2 linked regions of the Lytechinus pictus genome follow. The protein of the gene in region 1 interacts with the protein of each later gene in a pairwise test. Links are inferred from orthologs where the notes say so. Each region holds a gene or a part of one and is shown on either strand. Other genes may lie near its edges.

Region 1 (8,003 bases):
TCTTTCTTCACTTTCATTTGCCTTCTTAATTTATAAGGTACATGCAAGAGGAGATACATGATGAGAGTGCAGTCTCTTTGGAATAGTATCAGAGCTGCCAACATTGGAAAGATAGAATCCAGTAGATTTCGCGGAGGTATGATTTTGTGAGGGAGCGGCGGAACGTTGTCCCACGGATGGGAGTTTTGGGTAGCAAAACACATTAAGAAACAACATTTGATAGTAACTGACAGCTGTCTAAACCATCAAAAAAAATTCTGATAGATTAAATGCACATTAGAGAGAATTCATGAATTGTCATTGACTAAATATACACTTCAGGCAACACAGTAGATTTTTTAAATAATTTATAAAAGAATGCATTCAACATGAAAATACCTTTAATTGGCCAGAGAGGGAAGGGGCTGCAGTAGTGGTAAACATGGTAAATGAGCTTTATATGTGGACTGTTTAAAGTCTCTGAGGGATTCCTGTGAAAATTGTCACACAGTCCCATTCCGCTTGAAAATTATCTTTATACTTCAAAACGTATTTTGTCGTCTTGGTCTTGGATGACTCCATCTCCATGATCTCCATGGTCACTGGCGATGCGATTGTAGTGTGGATAAATCGGGGCGGGGCGTGCTTCGCACAGCTCAGCCAGCCAGCACCAAGCTAGCTCACTCACGAAAGAGAAAATGTTCGTATCCGATCAACCCAAGTGAAAGTAGGCGAAAAAATCTCCACTTTGCTTCTGGTTCTTTAGGATTGTCAATAAAATTTTTCCTGAAACTGAAAGTCGGGGTGTAAAAGTAATCCACTTGTTAATCCCATCGTTGATCCACAGTTTCAGCTCGAATAAAGCGCACACAAGCTTACGAAAAATGCCTCTCAGTGCTCGTGAACTTCCCTTATCGTAGCTTCCTGGCGCAGCGCGGCCAGCTGGAGCCGCACCGGGGCGCATCGGGGGCCATGTGCATGGAGTACCGCTGAAGTGTTTTCATCACACACATTGCAGAACCCGGAAATAAAATGGCTTGTTAGAATACTTCACCAGTCGTTCAGTAAAATTATCTTCATTTACATTGGAAATCAATGTACGATTATACAAAAACTGGTAAAAGTTACTGGGTAAAATGAAAATGTGATAAGGAGGTTCCATGTGGGTGTTAGGGAGTTGAACATGCTAGACTCGTAAAACAGTCTTTTGTATGAATTTCGCAATTTAACAGCTAAAAATCCTGATTATCCAGGAGATTTTGGCATGAGGTCGGGAGAACGGGAGATTGGATCGCAATCCAGTATTCTCCCGCAGGATCCGGGAGACTTGGAAGCTCTGTAGTATGTACAACAATTCATTTTAGAGTTTTAATAAACCATTATTTGTGTAGAAAGGCCTTTAACGTATATTTGACACATCTCGGCAAGTAAAAAAAAATTCACACAGCATACTATTATTGTAAAAACAAGTTTTCATTTCCATCAATTGTGTCTTACCTTTTCAGAGTCATAGTTTGGCCATAAGTAGTTTTCAAGATATTGGCTGAACTCGAGCACCATGATACGACGCGCAGCAAACCTGCATGTAAACAAATGTTTAAACCATTAGAATTGTGCAAAGAAAATTGAGGGGGTACAAATAAATTGAGCATTCTACATCACACAGGTGACAACTTGTTTTTTATTGATCACACCTTTATAATTTTCTTATCATCTTCTAATTATTTTTATGTATATTCAATCAAACTCAGACGTCTCTTTAACACAACCAATACATGAGTAAGGTAAACCTTAAACACTACTTTTTTCACATCATTTGTTTTAAATGAGATTCAATTAAATTCATTTTATTTATTACATATATTGCAATTTCAAAACATATAACATTAAACACAGGTGGCAATTCAAGAAACTTGAGCGTTTTGAAGGTTCTCTCATACTGAAACAAAATAACATAACAAATAAAAAATACAAATTATACAAAGAACAAAATGATAGTAGACTAAGAAACAAATTAAAATTTAAAAAAATAACATGTACAAGAAACAGAAAGTGCATATATTAACAGAATAGGCAAGAAATTTTGAATATGCATTTTATAGTCAGTGTCAAAGGAATTACAGTTTTTATTTCAGTGCTTGGACAAGTGAAGTGGTAATTGGTTAAGACTTTTAACAATACTGAAAATAACAAAGATAATCAAAATTTTAATGGAACATTTTTTTCCAATTTGGGGCATTACAAGAAACTTTTAAATTGCAATCAATTGCAAGTGAAATCAGAAAAAAATCCATTTAAAATCTCAAAATCTATTATAAATCATGCAATCATTTACAATTATGTAATTGACTGCTTGTCTCCTTCATCCCTAAAATGCTATCATATCGCTTGTATCGCATTCTATTAACCTTTTAACAAAATTCCCTTAGTGTCATTTTGATCTTACTTGTTCTTCAAGAGTTCTTTCTTGTAAACATCTTCAATCACCTAGTGAATAAAAGAAAAGAATACATACATCTTGACATTTAAAATCAGAAGCATTTTCTTAAACATTTTGAAGGGTTTTCAAAGATATTCATTTTGCGAGAAGGGTTTGAAATTATTACAATATGAATGGAAAATTACAAAAATGGCATAAAAAGACTGTCCATACTGTCATTTATTTTACGTGAATAAAATAATCTTCAAGCACAAATAATATCTGAATCATTTAAGTATGAATACTCTTGCTGCTTTCAACTTATAAACAAACAGAACACCAATGATAGTCATTATGAGTTCATTTATTTACCTCTGTTTCTTCTCCTTTGTATGAATGTCCACTTCTTATAGGTAGGAATAATAGATTTCACTTGTTGTCTTCAGTTTACATCTCTTTATTAAAATCCAGTACCTTAATTTAGTTTATAATCTCAGGGAATGGGTGGTAAGAACCAATAAAATGTATCATACATCATTCCTGATTCATACACATTCTGGTACAATGGATTATTTTTATCAAAACAAAATGAAGAAGAGTTCTGCACAGCAATCATCTACTATTTTGGATTTATTTATCTCCATATGCCTACCTTTGGATCATAGGCCAAGTGTGGTGTAGGACTATTTGGAGCCCAAAATCGACTGCCAAGCTGTGTCAAAAAGTCTGCATTAAGCTGCTCCACTGTAGGAGCATAACTCTTCCTTTTCTGACTGCCACTCATCTGTAAAATACAATCAATACAGAAAAATAGGTAAAAAGTGAGTACATAAATTGTTTTTAATAACATTTAATATTGTTGGCAATTCTAGCCCATTATTCAAACCTTTAGTTTCATTCCACTAACCTCATTTTCCCCTCATTTTCAAAAATATTTTAAATGTTAGACACACAAGCCTTCATAAATTATATTGCCTGTTCTATACACACAAAAAAAAAGTCCCCCCTAAATCAAAATGCTATAACTTTTGAACAGAATAATTTTTGAGATATAATATTTCGTAGGTGGTTTTTAACACTCACTAAGCAACTCCTGGGGGAAAATGAGATTGATCGGTTGGGTCATACACGAGTAATCAAAGATTGAATTAAAAATGACAATTTTTTAAAGTCACAAGAGTCGTTTTTCAGATAGTGTTAATACAAAGTTGGGCAAAGGTTGTTTTTTGTGAATTTTATGGTGTTAACGTTGTTTTACTATCCATCATTTAGCCACTCCACACAAAATTTTGATAATGTATGTTCATGGTTGAGTGAGCACATTTTTTTTTCTCATAGGGGTTTATGGTAGTATCCTATGTAACTTGTTAAAACATGTTAAAATTGGAAAATGTAAGTGGCTCCCCTCCCCCAATTTCTCGGCACCTCCCCACTTTCAACTTCTGGATCCACCACTGATTGGTCTATAAATTCAAATGATCCTGAGAAATTGTTAGGAAAAGAATACATTTATGCAGTAAAAAGAGTATTAATTCCTAAGTTTTTGAGTGTGCTCGCTCAACCATGACAGTGTAAAATGTTCGGAAAGTGTGTGGTGATAAAAACAACACAAATTAAGTTACATTTGAAACCGAATTTGCCCCCATTATTCACTTTATAACCCCTCAAAATGTGTATGTGACATTAAAATAATGTCGCACCAACGCATAATGTCACAGATTGCGACTTTATGCCAAGAGCGTCCGACGCATGTCGCAGTCAACGCATAATGTCGTAGTTTTTCTAACGCATAACGTCACATGTCGCAACGCATAATGTCGCAGCAAAGTGTCAACGCATAATGTCACATGTCGCAACGCATAATGTCGCAGCGGTTTTTGCTTCAGGACCGTCGAGTTACAGATAAGATATAAAATATGATTTAACTCAGTATATTATTCAAATACTTTCATCTGAATATTTTGAAAAGTGTGTGCGAGGGTGTGTGAGTCAGTGTGGTGGAGGAATAAACAGTATATATACATGTATATATACAGTGCGTCCCACAAAAAACGAAACCGAGATTTATCATAACTTAATCACAAATACAATAGACAAATGACCTACCATTGTAAAGCTTAGAATCTCCTCTTTCATCTGGAATTACTTAGATTATTTCTCATTCACAAATGAGTGAGCAAAAACAATTTGAAGAGGGGATACCTAAAAGTCATTTGGCGGGCTGTATCTGGGTTTCAAAACGAAAACCCCATTTTTAAAAAGTTCAATATCTGCTCTTTAATTTGATACCTCTATTACAGAAAATGGTCAAGAAATAACAAAGTTCTGGTTATTTGAAATAAGGCTTGAATTTCAATAATTTCATAAAATGAAGAGGTTTTACAGGCTAGCGTTCAAACTCACTCGACACTCCGTTTTGTTGACGATCAGCCATGCATTAAGTCTTTTGTTAACCATGCGATAGCTTCTGTGGGGAAACCGGTGAAAACACGTTTATCTAATGAAATTATGGAAATACAAGCATAGTTTCGAGGGAACATAACTTTTTTACTTCTCGACCAACCAAAAAATTACTTTTTTTCTTTCCAGGGCTCTTTTTGGAGAAACTTAAAAATTTTCCAGGGCTACTTTTTTATTTTCCAGGGCTCTTTTTCCACTTTCCAGGGCTACAATTTCTGGAGCTATTTCGCGGCTTTTTTGCGTTTGTGTGTGTGTGTGTGTCTGTGTGTGTGTGTGTGTGTGTGTCACATTGAAGGGATGCTGGTCAGCAGTGCAGGGCTGCTCTGCTGCAGGCTCTGCTTTAACAAGATGTACTGTACATGCGGTGCGTTCAACGCTAGCGGGCGTGTATATTTTGCTTATTACATGACGTCATCCAGCCACTGCCGAGAGCCAATTTATGAATGAAAATATAGTAAGCATGCGCAGTGCAAGCCTTCCATAGCCCCACACAGTATTCCACCAAAACAAGTGTACAATACTCTATCACCTCGCACCAAAATCGACCTAGAATTTCACTTTCCTATAATTTATATGAATTATGAAAGGTATTCTCGGAGGATCTATTTTCTCACCGATACCGAACAGGTAAGCGAATTTCGATTACTTCTTGATTTTCGGTCAAAATCTTACGAATTAGCGTTGATATAGCATCGTGGAGTTTGTAGAGTCTATCGCAACGTGTACAAAGTCAATTGATTTCCGGGTTTCGGATCCGGAGCGTCGCGTGAATATGCATGAAATTGCCGAGTCTCGATAATTTTCGATCGATACTGGAGCGATCCGATCACGAACCAAGACCATTTCCCGCGTAGACAATGTGACCGGATATCGTTATCGCTATCGATACTTTCGCACGCAGTCCGAAGGAATTATTTTGGCGACCACGTAGTCATGACGTGATCTGCGCGATTGGCCAATCAGCGGTCTCCGATTCGCTGAGCCGAGACGGTCTATTCGTTGTACACAGTCTATGGACAATTTGCCACTGTGAAATATACAGTGTTGACGGGGGCGATTATGAGTTTTGCAGTCGCCCTCGTGTGAATGTTTTTAGTCCTTTTCTGGGGCTCTTTTTGGACTTTCCGGGGCGAATTCGCCCGCCGCCCCCGTGTAATTTTTTGGTTGTTCTCGACCATTTTTTGTGATAAAGGTATCAAATAAAAGAGCAGATATTGAACTTTTTTAGGCATGTGAATTTCTTTTTGAAATTCAGATACCCCCCGCCAAATGACTTTTTGGTATCCTTTCTTCAAATTGTTTTTGCTCACTCATGCGTAAATGAGGAATAATCAAAGTAATATCAGATGAAAAAGGAGATTGTCACTTGGTCTAATTCACATTGCCACTTCCCCCCATCCATTTTAAGGAGGGGGCGAAAAAGTATTTTAAAAAACAGAATGAGAAAATAAGACGAATGACTACGAACAAAGTATTAAAAAAATACATGATTTGATGGCTTTGTCACTTTTGGAATCCCCCAAACACCTTGGCCTCATTCCTCAAATATTTCATATCCTATAACAACATCAGTCTTGGACCTGAACCCTATCTACCCCCCCCCCCCCCCCCGAGCCTTTTTTTTTTTTTTATATCAAGGAGTTTGAAAATAGCAAAGAAGCAAGAAAAAAAAACAGAAGCAAAACAAAACAATACAAACCCCCTTCCAACCCAATGGCATGTGTCCCCCTACCCTCTACCCCTCACCATAACCCCCCCCCTCCCATGCCCTTCGTTGTCACAACTCTCCGTTCTACTCGTGTGGGGGAGGAAGTAACTTGTTCCTTCCTTCTATGAATGGTAAGAATGAAAAAATATATATATATATGTACATATATATATTTATGAAATATACTCTTATACCTTATAGCATTCATTAAAAAAAATTATTATTGTTATTATTATAAACAAATATCATTTATTTCATTTATTTTTTATTCTTATTTTATTTTTGCACTTATTTATCAATTATTTATTATTTTTTCTTTATTTATTAATTTATTTATTTCATTAATAAATTAATTAATTTATTTATTTTTTATTATTTTTCTTGCACAGTAGATTTATCAGACAGGCCTTTTCAGTCACTTTTATACCCATTTTGTTCCAAAAGCACGCAATCTAAATGTTTGCGCTCACTTTGCTCGCTCGCAAGTTCACTAAATATTTAGCGAGGAACACATTTCCCATTATTTCTGAGCATTCATCAGAAGGAAATACATAAATAATCGAGATATGCTTGAAAGGATTATATTTTACTTCTCAAAACATAATGAATCTTTATATTTGGGGTGCCCCCCAAACCCCAATTAAAGCCCTATTGGTATCACACTACCACATCCACGTGCGTACTCATTATGGAACCGGATTTACGTCACTGAGAAATGATTGCACAAGTACTCAAAGGAATTCGAAGATGGAGGCGGTCAAAGCTTTTTGCTCATAGTGACGATACGTAACATATTTTCTTCAGACTAATCATCCCTCAAAAGGTAAGAGTTTGTAAACTATTCTTATTGTGAATCTTTGTTACATTCAATACTGAATTCTTGCACTGTCATTCTTCTGTCATGTTGAATTTGCTCTTCTATATCACCTACACACAGTTTCTTTTTAGTCCAGGCCTTTGCACTAGACCTAGTATTGGATTAACGAAGATATCCCAGGGGGGCATTGCCATTACACCAATGACAGCATGCTTTGTACGACCTGTCCATATAGTAATAATGACACTAGAGGGCGTACTCTTACGATTGATGTTGGGAAAGTCAATGGGAGGTGCCATGGCTGGGTCTAACCCACACGGCGAATCACTCTAAAGTCCGGGTACGATCTACTGTCATGGCATTAAAAAAAAGGAATCAATGTCCTTTTATCATACACTGAAATAAATGAAAATGCTATAGGCATTATCAGTTACAACATGTGCACGTGTTTGTTTTTAAATCGTGTGTGAACGTGCGAGTGTCATGTGGAGAGTGTTTTATGAAAGGACATGTCAGAGGTTTTATCCAACAAGTCCGGAATTATTTGACAGTAACCAATGTAACTGTTGCTCACTGCCAATCTGAAAATGTTGATGAAACGCTCCCCCAGATAGATGGAA
Region 2 (7,994 bases), on another chromosome or scaffold:
AATGAGCAAAAAGAGATGTTTTGGGGTATATTTTCAGCGTCCAAAAGGGGAGAGTTGTTCATCTGTGACATCGTAGATCTTGGTCGCATTGCCAATTGGAGGATCTCCATAGCATTAGTGATCTTGACATTCAAATGCTCATAACTCTTCTATTGCTAGTCCTATTTTACTCAAAATTTTGTTGGTCTTATTCTTTGATTTTTCTGCTTTCACAAATGCTAACTAATTGCTCCAAGAGTTTCATTCTCCTTTAATAACTAGTATACCCAGTTGTTTATGAGGCGCCGAATGTACCAATATTATATAGAACAATTATTTGTTATATAATCATTATTTATTAAATAATAACTATTATTTATATATAATTTACATTTTATTTGTAAATAACTACTATTATATAAAATATCATTTCTAATTATTTATATATAATTCCAAGTAATACTTCATTATTTGTAAATAATAATAGTTCGACATTCCATTATTTATAAATAATGATTATTTGTTTTTCATTATTTATAAATAATGATTATTTGTTTTTCATTATTTATAAATAATGATTATTTGTTTTTCATTATTTATAAATAATGATAATTGGTTTTTCATTATTTATAAATAATGATTATTTGTTTTTCATTATTTACAAATAATGATTATTTGTTTTTCATTATTTATAAATAATGATTGTTTTTCATTATTTATAAATAATTTGTTGAGTTTTCTATTATTTATAAATAATGATTATTTGTTAAATAATGAAAACGTCTACTTCATTATTTATAAATAATTTTTTCGAGTGCACCATTATTCTCATTATTTATAAATAATCATTATTTAATGTTCGAGTTTTCCATTATTTATAAATAAAGATTATTTGTTAAATAATGAAATATCTACTTCATTATTTATAAATAATAATTTTGTTTCAATATCCCATTAATCATTATTTATAAACAATTTTTACAGTTTGCCATTATATACAAATAATCATTATTTATATACAAATAACCATTATTTATTAAATAATGCCATTATTTATTAAATAATGCCATTATTTATTAAATAATGCCATTATTTATTAAATAATGGAAAACTCGCTATAACATGCAAATGTGGGACCGCCCATGATATGAATATTCATGATGCGATTTCCTTTTTCGTGATTTTTCTTCACAAATTTTTGTCCATTTCCTCTTCATAATGACATTTCTTGAAGCAATTTTCTAGGGATATGGTCTGATTGTAATATTCTTCATTTTCTATATAACTTCGTCTTCGTAGAAATATCAAAAAGTGTAATTTTATACGATTTTTCCTACAGTTCACAATCCCCATAGGCGCGCGTGTACGGTAGGGACAACCGGTGAATCGACGGAGTGCTCTTCATCGAAATACTACGTTGGTTGGTCCCCGGAAGTGGCGGGCGGAATTTAGCCCGAATCCTCGATGGAAGTCGATCAAGTGCATATGAGCTGAGAGAGTGAAATATCAGTGTACTTGTACAGGCCCTTCTACTTTTTATAAATATTTCTTGTTGCTTTTTTTGTTAAGTTAATTTTTCCTGGTGTAGAGATAAGTTTCAGTTCTAATAATGCACTTCAAATACATTTTGGAGTGTCTGTTTGAGGCGTTTGGGGCGATTTCACCCTGGCCCCAAAATGCTCGCAACGACAATACGGGGGCATGATGACCCCTAAATTTTAAAAAACTTATTTTTCTATTGAAAATTATCACAAAATTCACCAAAAGTGTGCACGAAAGCCTTCGTATTTCACTTTTAAAACTCCAAAAGTGCCCAAATGACAAGCTTGGTCGCTTCGCTGTGTCGCTTTCAACTTGAGAACGTTTACGCGTCTGCTTCGATATCCCCCCCCCCCCTCCTCCGAAAGAAATTCTGTATACGGCCATGCTCTAAAGAGCCTGGCACATTGATTTATGTATACTTTCATTTTCATTATTTTTATCTCATTATCAACATGGCCTTACGCATAATTTTTTCCAGGGGGGCCGGGGCCGGAGCATGACGTACGCGCGTAAACTTTCTCATAAAAATCTTGAAAAAGCGAAGCGACCAAGCTTGTCATTTGAGCTTGGTCGCGTCGCTGTCTCGCTTTCAAGATTTTTTTGAGAAACTTTACGCGTGTCCTAGCTGCTCCCCCCCCCCCCCCCGGTAAAAATTCTGTGTAAGGCCATGATGATAATGTGATAAAAATAATGAAAATGAAAAGTACATATAAATCAATGTGCCATATGCTCTTTTGAGCATGGCCGTTCACAAAATTGTTTTCGGGGGGTGGGGGCAGACGCGCGTAAACGTTCTCAAGTTGAAAGCGAGACAGCGAAGCGACTAAGCTTGTCATTTGGGCTTGGTCCCGTGGCTGTCTCGCTTTCAAGATTTTTTTGAGAAAGTTTACGCGCGTCATGCTCCGGCCCCGGCCCCCCTGGAAAAAATTATGTTATACCGAGGTTGTTTTACCTGACTGCTAAGAAAGCACGAATGCCTGTGAGCAAGCAACCAGTGGACCAACGGCTTAAGGTCCTCTCCGAGGGACCTGGTAATGAGGATAAATGCCTTACCAAAGGGCACTAGCGCACCACTTGGGAATCGAACCCGGGTCACCGGAATCCGAAACCCCCGCTCTACCGACTGAGCTATCGCGCCTCCCTCATGCGTAAGGCCATGTTGATAATGAGATAAAAATAATGAAAATGAAAGTATACATAAATCAATGTGCCAGGCTCTTTAGAGAATGGCCGTATACAGAATTTCTTTCGGAGGAGGGGGGGGGGGATATATCGAAGCAGACGCGTAAACGTTCTCAAGTTGAAAGCGACACAGCGAAGCGACCAAGCTTGTCATTTGGGCACTTTTTGGAGTTTTAAAAGTGAAATACGAAGGCTTTCGTGCACACTTTTGGTGAATTTTGTGATAATTTTCAATAGAAAAATAAGTTTTTTTAAATTTAGGGGTCATCATGCCCCCGTATTGTCGTTGCGAGCATTTTGGGGCCAGGGTGAAATCGCCCCAAACGCCTCAAACAGACACTCCAAAATGTATTTGAAGTGCATTATTAGAACTGAAACTTATCTCTACACCAGGAAAAATTAACTTAACAAAAAAAGCAACAAGAAATATTTATAAAAAGTAGAAGGGCCTGTACAAGTACACTGATATTTCACTCTCTCAGCTCATATGCACTTGATCGACTTCCATCGAGGATTCGGGCTAAATTCCGCCCGCCACTTCCGGGGACCAACCAACGTAGTATTTCGATGAAGAGCACTCCGTCGATTCACCGGTTGTCCCTACCGTACACGCGCGCCTATGGGGATTGTGAACTGTAGGAAAAATCGTATAAAATTACACTTTTTGATATTTCTACGAAGACGAAGTTATATAGAAAATGAAGAATATTACAATCAGACCATATCCCTAGAAAATTGCTTCAAGAAATGTCATTATGAAGAGGAAATGGACAAAAATTTGTGAAGAAAAATCACGAAAAAGGAAATCACATCATGAATATTCATATCATGGGCGGTCCCACATTTGCATGTTATATAGCGAGTTTTCCATTATTTAATAAATAATGGCATTATTTAATAAATAATGGCATTATTTAATAAATAATGGCATTATTTAATAAATAATGGTTATTTGTATATAAATAATGATTATTTGTATATAATGGCAAACTGTAAAAATTGTTTATAAATAATGATTAATGGGATATTGAAACAAAATTATTATTTATAAATAATGAAGTAGATATTTCATTATTTAACAAATAATCTTTATTTATAAATAATGGAAAACTCGAACATTAAATAATGATTATTTATAAATAATGAGAATAATGGTGCACTCGAAAAAATTATTTATAAATAATGAAGTAGACGTTTTCATTATTTAACAAATAATCATTATTTATAAATAATAGAAAACTCAACAAATTATTTATAAATAATGAAAAACAAATAATCATTATTTATAAATAATGAAAAACAAATAATCATTATTTGTAAATAATGAAAAACAAATAATCATTATTTATAAATAATGAAAAACCAATTATCATTATTTATAAATAATGAAAAACAAATAATCATTATTTATAAATAATGAAAAACAAATAATCATTATTTATAAATAATGAAAAACAAATAATCATTATTTATAAATAATGGAATGTCGAACTATTATTATTTACAAATAATGAAGTATTACTTGGAATTATATATAAATAATTAGAAATGATATTTTATATAATAGTAGTTATTTACAAATAAAATGTAAATTATATATAAATAATAGTTATTATTTAATAAATAATGATTATATAACAAATAATTGTTCTATATAATATTGGTACATTCGGCGCCTCATAGTTGTTGTGTGTCCGGACGATCAATTTTAGAAAGTCATTTGGAACAATTTACAAGGGAAGTTTTATCAATTTTTAGTACAAAATGTCAGGAAATATTATAAAGAACCAAATAGAAGATGATTACAACTATTGATTTCGTATTTTTAGTGTAATCCAAAGACAAAAAAGAAGGCTTCAAAAATATAAAGTGTCCGGACACCCGACCCCCCATCCTACTAACGTAAAATAATATGCTTTGATCCAATTGATCCTTATACAAAAAATCCAAAGTTAGCCTTACAGGGGCCGCTGAACGGGGAGTGGGAAAATAGCATTTTACAGTACGAGAGCAGCCATGTACAGAAATGTGAAAATTGAACACCAAATTTTGTGTATTAACCCCCTGCTAGCTCTCTCCGCATATTTTTTCCTCCGTTCTAACTTTGGACTTATGCTGGCGCCCTTGACGTTACCGCACCGTTCGTAGACAAAATGGCAGCCTCCAGTGGGAAAAAGAAGGTAGATCTTCGGGAGTTAATGAGACAGCAAAAGGCTGCAAAGCAAAGCAGTGTCAAGAGAATTGAATCACCATTAGCAAAATATCCTTTAAAATAGTATTTCAGGCAAGAAATTAATAAATTCGGCCATTGTCAGAGCTAAAGCCTCGAGTTATTTTACTGTCTTGAATTATTGTAGTCCCATGTTATTAAGTTTACGTTGGTCATTTGATTGGCGTTTACTCAAAACGGTTTAGGTAGGGACACTCACACGTATTGCGAGGTTAGTATTACTATTAGTATAGGTAGGGAGTTCGGTGATTTTTTTAAAATCTTGAAGAATCCCAACAAATTTGATATCATTGGAAAGCTTGTGAAATAAGAAAAATAATGGTGCTTCATTTAACTCATTGTCTGATATATTGACGGAGATATTCCAATTTACAGGGGAAAATATGCAGATTTTGTTCTGTCAAATTTTTTTTAAAGGCTTGTTTGAGTGGGGGAGACAGTTGCTTTTTGAAATCTTGAAGGAATCCCAACAAATTTGGTACCAATGGAATGCTTGTGAAATAAGAAAAAGAATGGTGCATAAATCGACTCATGATGACAAATATTGACAGAGATATTTCTGTTTAAACGGTAGAATGTGCAGATTTTATTTACAGCAAAAAGTAGATTTTCATAACTTACACAAAATGCAATGAATGGGACTGTGCAATACTTTTTTAAAAAGTGCAATGCGCTGCTTTGCGGGGCAAGGCATTCCCTTGAATTATACATCATTTTATTCATTAAACTTCAAAGTTTCTCATGGTATAGGTTTCTATAGGGTTTTTCCTCCTCCTTTAAATTTAATGGCTTCATATTTGTTTTGTACATGGGTGCACAGACAGATACAAATTCTGAAAGTGGCATTTTCACCGAACTCCCTAGTTTAGGTTTGACTATTAATATTAGTTTAGGGTCTAGTATTAGTCTTAACTTGGTGAATTCGCTGCTATTTTTGTTTTACTCGAGAAAGGCATGCATCGTATTGCCAAATTCCTTGTTGTGTTCAGCTGCCATAAAATTTAAATCGGCCAGTGCAACTCAAGGCTAAGCAAATATTTATTTACTTAGTCTTAGCCCAGCCCGGCCCAGTCTCTTTTTATTATTATTTTACTGTCCGAATAATCTAGAGAAAGTTTCTATCTGATACCTGTCTGGTCAAAACACAAAAATTTAGATCCTCTAAATCTATTTTCTTTTGTATAAATTCACAATTGATCAGCTTTATGAAACCCCTACCCAGGTCTAGTTGATCTTGATGGATGGATAAAATGATAGAGTAGTAAATGTAAATATTGTTGGTCATGTTACTTAGTCTTAGTGCAAAGAAAGTTGCAAAATTTAGTTTTATTTCAAATTAATAATTTAAAAGTTAGGAACAGTTACTCCTGCAAGTTTTCATCACGTTTACTAGGGACCATGATATTGTGATATAATTTGGGGTATTATAAGAGATGATAGTTATGGGATGATCAAAATAATATTATCATTGTCAATGAATATGACAGAAATAGAAGAAAGATCTTGGCAATTACAATTTCGATTTATGGAATTACATCCAGGCATTCACTAAGACACAATTCAGGGGATCCAGTTGTAAAATTATTGTGAAAAATCAATGTTTTGAACAGACTACAGAGTTGCAGTTGTAATGCTATTTTGTGATTGAAATGGTCATAGCTTGCGAGTTTTTGTTTATTTTGTTCTGGATATCTGATAAAGGTCAAACTTAATGTTTTGTTAAGAACTAAATAATTCCTTAACACTGACATACGTATAACAACCTTGGTCAGTTAATCTGTGTAGTTTGTAATCAGCAGGTGAAGAATGAAATACTGTGGACAGCTCATATTCAAGGAAAGAAACATAAAGATGTAAGTAATATATATTCTACATAATTTGTATTTCTCCACCTCCTTTTTCTTCCCCATCTCCTTTCTATTTTGTATCATCACCTTCACTATTTTTTCTTGATTATAATTACAAATAATTTGTTTTTTCACCCCATGACAGGATTATTCATCATTCTCTCTTTTTTTTTTACTTGAGGCTTTTCATGATTCATTAGTCAAGAAACAATTCCTCTTTTATATGCATAAAGTTTCATGAACATAGTTGCAGTCAGTGTGCTCTTTAATATAAGTTCAAACTGATTCCTTTTTGTCTCACCTGCATAGCAGTGTGAGACTATAGGCACCACTTTTTTTATGGCGACGGCGTCAACACCAAAACTTAACCAAAGGTTAAGTTCTTGTTATGACAGCATAACTTAGAAAGTATATGGACCTAGTTCATGGAACTTAGACATAAGGCTGATCAAATATTACTGAACATTTGCCAGAGTTTTAAGTCACATGACCAAGGTCAAACGTCATTTAGGGTCAATGAACTTTAGCCAAGTTGGGGTTATCTGTTGAATTACCATCTTATCTTTTATAGTTTATGGATCTGATTCATGAAACTTGGACATAAGAGTAATCAAGTGTCACTGAATATCATGTGTGAGTTTCAGTTCACATGATCAAGGTCAAAGGTCATTTAAGGTCATTGAACTGTGGCCAAGTTGGGGGGTATTTGCTGAATTACCATCATAACTGAAAGTTTATGGATCTGATTCATGAAACTTGGACATAAGAGTAATCAAGTATCACTGAACATCCTGTGCGGGTTTCAGGTCACATGACTAAGGTCAAAGGTCAATGAACTTTGGCCATGTTGAGGGTATCTGTTGAATTACCATCATAACTTTGAAAGTTTATGGATCTGATTCATGAAACTTGGACATAAAGAGTAATCAATTATCACTGAACATCCTGTGCGAGTTTCAGGTCACATGACCAAGGTCAAAGGTCAATGAACTTTGGCCATGTTGGGGGTACGTGTTGAATTACCATCATAACTCCAAAAGTGTATGGATCTAGTCCATAAAACTTGGACATAGAGTAATCAAATATCACTGAACATCTCATGCGAGTTTCGGGGCACATGACCAAAGCCAAATGTCATTTAAAGTCAATGAACTTTGGCCACTTTGGAGGTAATTATTATATTACTGCCATGACTAAGTCATTTATCGTCAATG

Evidence for each region.
Region 2: the proteins of RNA helicase aquarius-like (region 1) and zinc finger protein 830-like interact in a two-hybrid assay, tested with the Homo sapiens proteins (2 studies listed by BioGRID and IntAct, with this or other methods). The link is inferred for Lytechinus pictus from reciprocal best matches to the Homo sapiens genes AQR and ZNF830.

What each region holds. Positions count from the first base shown.
Region 1 is NC_087251.1:14,776,671-14,784,673, forward strand, and holds the start of RNA helicase aquarius-like, read right to left. Parts: upstream 3,185-8,003; 5' UTR 3,183-3,184; coding exon 3,051-3,182; intron 2,467-3,050; coding exon 2,426-2,466; intron 1,559-2,425; coding exon 1,477-1,558; intron 1-1,476.
Region 2 is NC_087247.1:42,395,470-42,403,463, forward strand, and holds the start of zinc finger protein 830-like, read left to right. Parts: upstream 1-4,812; 5' UTR 4,813-4,856; coding exon 4,857-4,963; intron 4,964-6,686; coding exon 6,687-6,786; intron 6,787-7,994.